Daphnia pulex: one gene and its partner. The protein of the gene in region 1 purifies or fractionates together with the protein of each later gene. This does not show direct contact. Links are inferred from orthologs where the notes say so. Each region holds a gene or a part of one and is shown on either strand. Other genes may lie near its edges.

What was found. The genes of interacting proteins can lie anywhere in the genome.
Region 2: the proteins of DNA damage-binding protein 2-like (region 1) and COP9 signalosome complex subunit 8-like purify together in Homo sapiens (affinity purification with mass spectrometry; 6 studies listed by BioGRID and IntAct, counting the BioPlex papers as one, with this or other methods). This does not show direct contact. The link is inferred for Daphnia pulex from reciprocal best matches to the Homo sapiens genes DDB2 and COPS8.

Annotation. Positions count from the first base shown.
Region 1 is NC_060018.1:5,111,778-5,115,879, reverse strand, and holds DNA damage-binding protein 2-like, read left to right. Parts: upstream 1-1,313; 5' UTR 1,314-1,443; coding exon 1,444-1,499; intron 1,500-1,562; coding exon 1,563-1,824; intron 1,825-1,903; coding exon 1,904-2,095; intron 2,096-2,149; coding exon 2,150-2,301; intron 2,302-2,376; coding exon 2,377-2,532; intron 2,533-2,601; coding exon 2,602-2,736; intron 2,737-2,811; coding exon 2,812-2,944; intron 2,945-3,015; coding exon 3,016-3,414; 3' UTR 3,415-3,599; downstream 3,600-4,102. Other genes in the region: large subunit GTPase 1 homolog, read left to right, coding at 1-28; RNA polymerase II subunit A C-terminal domain phosphatase SSU72-like, read right to left, coding at 108-209, 278-393, 465-604, 673-816, 939-1,015.
Region 2 is NC_060017.1:2,513,575-2,516,349, forward strand, and holds COP9 signalosome complex subunit 8-like, read right to left. Parts: upstream 1,492-2,775; 5' UTR 1,346-1,491; coding exon 1,283-1,345; intron 1,219-1,282; coding exon 1,148-1,218; intron 1,081-1,147; coding exon 866-1,080; intron 800-865; coding exon 564-799; 3' UTR 501-563; downstream 1-500. Other genes in the region: zinc finger protein 724-like, read left to right, coding at 12-149. UniProt on the Homo sapiens protein: Component of the COP9 signalosome complex (CSN), a complex involved in various cellular and developmental processes.

The sequences.
Region 1 (4,102 bases):
TAGAGTATACGCTCATTTGGATCAGTGAGCCTGTGTATCAAATACTGGAAATACAATTTGATGGTCATACTTCGTTTTTCTTTATATGGTAATATATGAGATGTGTATCAATAGAACAGAAGACAATGTAGTATTGGTCGTTGACATTTTGCTTCAAAATCTTGCAACATTTCATCAATATCATTATCAAGGTCATCACTGTTGGCCATCTAAATAACCAATTTAAAACACTTTAAAATAGCCATTAAAATAAAAAAAAGTTGCTCAATATTATTACCATGGACACCAATTCACACATGAGAAATGCACCTATTGTTGCCTCTTCATGGTTGTCTTGAATTTCAATGTTTACCACATGAACAGGAGTAGTCTGACTGTCTCTGCCTTCCAAGCCTTTTTTTAAATAAAATAGATGAACTGATTATATCTGAATTCTGAAATAACAACAAATTTCTCATTATTACTTTCAATCACTTGATCATAAACTCGTTCTTCACATGTAAGAATAAGATTAAATTGTTCTGTAGTCGACTGAAACCTCTCTGGGTGGGGTTTAATTCTCCTGTTTCTGTCTAACATATGAAGAAGTCCATTTCTAGTATACCTACAATAAAAATGTGTAATTGTAATGTGGATTCCTTCAAGTTTATTTGCATTTGAAGTTAACTGTACAATTCTCTATCCTTCTGCAAGAGATCTTGATAGATGTCATCATAAGGTGTCCCAAATTCATATACATTGGGTCTGTCAGGGGCTGCACCTGGTAATTTCACTTTGTCTCCAGTTCCAAATGATTGCACTCGATATCCTTTCTTGCTAAGGAAGTAATATAATAAACATTTGTTTAAGGTTATTGCGTGACAGATAACAGAATACTTCAGTTTAGAAAAGAACAACAACGATGCATAGCTTTCCGAAATAGTTAACATACAAAATACCTCAAAAAATTATGTGCTTCCATGCTGCGATTCATGTTACTTGAACAAATAACAGCTAATTTTAATGGCTGCGGCATTTTCTTTTTTATTTATAAATTGTTTAACACGACCGAAATGAATGATTCAATAAAATCAAGCAGACGAAACACCATCAACACTAATTACTCCCGCTAGGTTTCATTCCCAGTAATCTTAAAGTTATAAATGGATGGAATGTATCAGTTGATAGGCTTGAACCAAAAATTTTGTGTTAAAAAACATAGTTTGATTAGATTTAATTTATCAAAAGCTTAACAAATTCCACTTCTAATCAAACAATTATAGTAACATTTAAATCCGCTTGGGTGGGCATTTTTGTTTTTTTTGGTAGCAGACGTCTTTTATTTCCACATGGATCAGTATGAACCGGGTAGAAGTGTAGAACGTTGAATTGTTGAAATACTTTTCAAATATATTGGATGCAAACTTGAAACTTCCTAGCAAATGACTGATTTGTAAGGTCTATATGCAAATGGCACCACAAAATAAGAAAAAGAGTTCTTCAGCTCCCAAAAGGAAAAGGTTAATTAGAAAATATTTATTTTTGATACTTTAGGCAATATCGTTTGTTTTATGATTTGATAGAGATTTCTGTTCAGATCAATCGGATGACGATTTTGAAAAGACCTTAGTGCCCAAAAGATGTAGCAAATCTGTTTTACCGAAACCTGAAGCTAAAATAAGGGAGTCGGCTAAAATAAAAAAACAAACAAAATCAGATATTGCAAGTTGTTCAGTTGGTGATTTGGAAACCGCAATTAATGTAAAACCTCTCTCCAGAAAAAATTTCTTGTCATACATTACAAAAAGACAAACTGGCCAACCAATTTCAAGATGCTTTGAAAAGGTAGTATTACTCTACAATTGATTTATCAAGAATTCAACATATATATATATTTCTCAACAAACTGCTACATCATTTTCAGACCCTGAAGTTTCATGTTATGCAAAGTGTGCAACATTTGAAAGTTTTTAAGACTGCATCTCCTTTTGACCGTAGAATTACTTCCTTAGTATGGCACCCAAAGTCACTCACCACTCTTGCAGTTGGTTCCAAAGGAGGAGATATCATTCTGTGGAATCATCAGCATGAATCTCATGATGTCTTCATACAAGGAGTATTTTTCATAAAACTTAATCAAATAACATAAGATTTTATATTTATATAAAAGTTAGGGGCAGGGGGATCAATACAAGCAATGAAATTTGATTATAATGAAGATAATCACCTCTACACCTGCTCAATTGATGGAACATTCTGTAGGAGGAACTTAAGAAGTAACCAAGTTACTGTTTACTTAAACACCGGAGAAGACTGCTTCAAGTAAAACTTTTTGTTATTTAAGAAACATAATCTGGGGGTTTAGGCTTAGTACCTAATAATACCTAATATTTGTAGTAATTGGTACACCTCTTTTGATGTATCCTTCACTGGGGGACTTCTGCTTGCTGGAGATAATAAAGGATATGTAAATTTGCTTACCAAAGACGGGACTCCTATATGGAAACAACGTTTACATAAATCAAAAGTGCACCACATTGAATTCCACTCTGGGTAAGTTTAAATTGTTGGTCAACAAAACTGAATGAATTTACTTTCTTTTTTATTATTATTACCATTAAGAACGCCTTGGCTATTTGTCACATCGTCCGGCGATAATTTCGTTCGCTTGTGGGATGTGAGAAATATAAAGAATACCGAAAGCGCGCTTGTAGAACTTAAGCATGAAAAGGGAGGCGTAAATTCTGCGTATTTTAGGTACTTTTTTTTATGGAAATGATTTTTGCAAATGGCATTTTATTGAAATTCTATTTATCTTTTCGTAACTACTAGCCCAGCACACGGAACAAGGCTCTTGATTACAGATCAACACAGCGAACTGAAAATTTTTTCTGGCCCACTTTGGAATTTGGAAACAAAAATTCTCCATCCTCACCGACATTTTCAACACATTTCGCCTATTAAAGTTTGATTTTAAAATTTATAATATTTAAAATAATTTATCCTTTATGCTCTTTCGCTATATTGGATCGACAGGCAGATTGGCACCCATTAGAAGACATTATTGTAGTTGGACGATATCCAGACCCCAAGTTCACGGGCTCACAAGGAATGGATACATTTAATCCAGGAAGTGAACCCCGCACTGTGGATTTTTTCGACGCATCTGACGGGGAGCTGATTTGCCAGCTTGAGCCAGTTGGACAGAAAGGGATCATGTGCTTAAATCGGTTTGATCAATTGGGTAACATATTAGCATCTGCACATGGGGCGCATATTCTTTTATGGGCACCAAAATACTCGGAGACAAACATTCCTTCTACTAGTGATATTTGCCAAAGTGTTCAGGCACCAATGCGTCGTCCTCTTACAATGGATAATGATAATGATTTAAAGAAGAAAAAAAGAAACACTTCATCTCGAAAACAAAAATAGTTGAATATTACTAAAAATAAATAGAGAAGAACCTGCAATCTTTGTTGTAGGATACCGCTTCCTTAACTGTTCAAAACTATTTGTTTCTTTGTTTGTGTTACCTAAAATTAAAACTGAAAACAAATCAAAAATAGGAATTACCTGAATAGTTTCTGCGAAGTGCGAATACATCGGTTTCATAAAAATTGGCATTTCGGTTCTCGATCGTAGTTACTCGTTATTAGTAATTTGAGATCAGGAATAATGACATTATTGTAAACATTAGATTTGAGATGTGCACCTTAAAAGAATTTGGATCGATCGATCAAGAAAGAAGATCGACCATTGGTTAAAATGGTAAAATGGGATGGATAGATGGGATGGGGCCTTTATTTTTCTGAATGTTTTACTCAAGCAGTAGGTAGCAATTAACTTTAGTTTAGTGCATTAATGTTGGAATGTTTATTGTAATATTTTCTCTAGATTCAACATGCCAAAGTTAGTTGGAAACCTAACTCAAACTTAGATAACCGTTGCTGCTGCCTTACAGCCACTGGCAGGAAAATTATTCTTTTTTTTTAGAAAAAAAATGGAGTGGTGGAGTTCTATTGTCACGTAGTGGAGTGGACATTAGAACTCCACTACACGACAATAGAACTCCAATAATTTTTAAAATTTGAGTTTTATTGCCGACAGTAGAACTCCACTA
Region 2 (2,775 bases), on another chromosome or scaffold:
TTGTTATGCAGGAAGTTCAGCAACTCCAGCTGATCAATGAGGACGAACTTATTCAAGAAACCGACGGTCTAGGTGCAGTGACTATGAGGGATCCTAATACTAATACCTTGTATGTGTGGTCTGTGTTCCCTAATTCTCAGACTAAGTGATCTATTGACACGATGACAAGCGCCCTAGTAATTTTTCTTCGCGAATTGAATCGCTTATTAATTGTGGGATCTGTCATTCCCTCTCTGATTCTGAAGATTATCTTTGCATAGAACTTTTGAGCTTCTCTTCCTATTCAACCGTTGCCCCTTGTACAGATGTTGTACCATGACACAGAACAGCAGTGAAAATACAACCGGGAAACAAAATATCACGTGGTATTTTCTCATTATGTTGAGAGTTGAAATTCGTTGCCGAGTCCGAGTGATCCTGGGGTCAAAGTTCCTAATTTAATTTTTTGAGCTGTGTTGGTTGCTATCAATTGAATAGTATGCAAATAATATGTAAAATAATTTCCGTTTCATCGATCAAGTTTATTTTCTTGGGTATAAACATAAGTAACGTATTCAGTTGATTTAATTTTCCAAGAACGAGACGAATTGGGTAAGACTCTGCAATTGCTCTTCATTCCGCATCAACGGAACGTTTTGGGCGGCTTGTCGCTTAGGTATGATTAATTTGGAAGCAGAATCACACGTCCAACCTTGCTCTTCCTGTAGCTTCGCGAGTAATTTTTCCGCATTCTCTGGATAATCAACATAACCAACCAATTCAGTGAAGGTGGTTGAAGTTATGGACAGATAAGCTTTCCCTAAAAATAATAAACACATTTCATTTTCATTGAAAATTTCTTTCAGGATGTTCTTGAACTATATACCTATGAGTTGAATTGATTTTTGCCGAAGATTTTCTTCCAGACAGGTCATGTAAGGTTCGATTGATGGAGGCCAACTTGTGTTTCTGAGAAGGCTGAACACTGAATTGTGCTCTTTTAACCATAGTTTTTGACCTACCTCCCAGATTTGGCCAAGTAAGGGGAATGCAGTTTTCTCTTCATTTGAGATTCGTTTCCAAAGAAATTTAGCATTGCATCTACATCAGCGTAAGAAAAACTCTTGATTATTAGCACCAGTCATTACAATGTAACTAATATACTTACAAGTCAAAATTACACAGATATATACTGAGTAACTGACTATGCAAATCTGCTAAAACCAATCCGCTCGCACCCTGAAGGAAAGACATCATTGCAATTAATTGTTCCAAGTTTTCGTCAACAAAACGACAACAGTACCTCGAGTTCCTGCTTCTCCAGTTCTTGGGTGGTACTTTCAAATAAAACAACTTTAGACGACATTTCCCCTTTTGAAACCAGGACGTATTTTATGAAATTTGTCGACGATTGTTTAAATCAAGTTCAAGTTACAGCCAACCTTCAGTATTTTGGCCGTACCTACAAGCCAACAGTGTGCAATTAATTAGACTGTTTTTGGTTTTTATAATGCTTTGTCGTCTGCCACGATCGAAGCAAGAAGTAACAATCATCGACACCAGGGGACAGTATATTTTCGAGAAATGGTCAAATGGAGAAATTAACAAATAAAAAAAAATTATGAGGGCGATGAATGAGATTTCCTCGTGTCAAACTTATGCAATATAATATAAATATGGAAAACCTTCTGAAAATGTGTGCCCTATAAAGGGAACTGGTTTTAAAGCTACATAGTAAAAACATATAAATACCTCTTTTTTTTCGGTTCTTTGTAGGGACCGTGGCCAACTATAAAAGGTTACAAAATTTTATGAACAAGAAACAAATCCAAGCGTCTTTACTCTTTACTTTAAATTTCCTAAAAATGAGGAAAGAATTCGACTTTTCTCCGGAAGAAGATTAATGTCCTTATCGAGCAATTTTTGGCTTTATTTTCTCGAAGATAATTTATTCAAACAACCTTGAAGTGTCAAGTAATTGTTTCACAAGTAAAAAAGTTAATGATTGGTAAATCTTAACGCAGAAATGTGGCGGCGGTTGAGAAAGGGTTTTCCTATTTTGATTTTCTCTTGCTTTTAGTTCGTCAGACTGACGTTAGTAGGCGGCAGTCTGTTTCATCACAGGTTCCCGCCGTTCTTTTATGGGAGGGGATGTGCTACAACCAATGGGAATTCTCAAAAGTCTAGCCCGAGGGGAATCCAGTCTCTCCCCGTTATATACAAATGTGTTGGGATATAGTTAAGGACGACGGGAAGGCCGTCCCAGCTCAGACACATTCTTGAACTTCACGTGCGAGGATATACCTCTTTAGTCACTGCTGAAAATACAAGTTGTAGAGCCAAATGTTTATTATTCGTCTACTCCCTTCTGCCAACAGATGAAAACGCTGTGAAACATGTGTCGTTAGTGTGTGTGTGTGTGCACAACTCGTGGCGATTATCTTCGTTTTTATTTTGTTCCAACTTTACACGTGTCTTTAAGATAAACATGATTCCCATCTGGGATAGTCATCTTTAACCGGTAAGATCAACATTTTTTAATGGCTTTTCATTTTACTCGAGTTGGGGGTTTGGGTGGAGAAAGAATAAATGGTGTCCTTGGTTAGAATTTTCTTCTGAACAACATGCCGGAATATTTTAACATTTCAAAGTCTCTCATGGGAATTGGGGCCCCCGTGTCTGTTTCTTTGCATATGGTTCGCGGTTAAAACAAGAACAGAATAGAACCACAAAAGTAGGAAGAAGAAGAAAAAAGAGTTTACACACTTGCGGAAGGAATACAAAGCCCCCCCATTT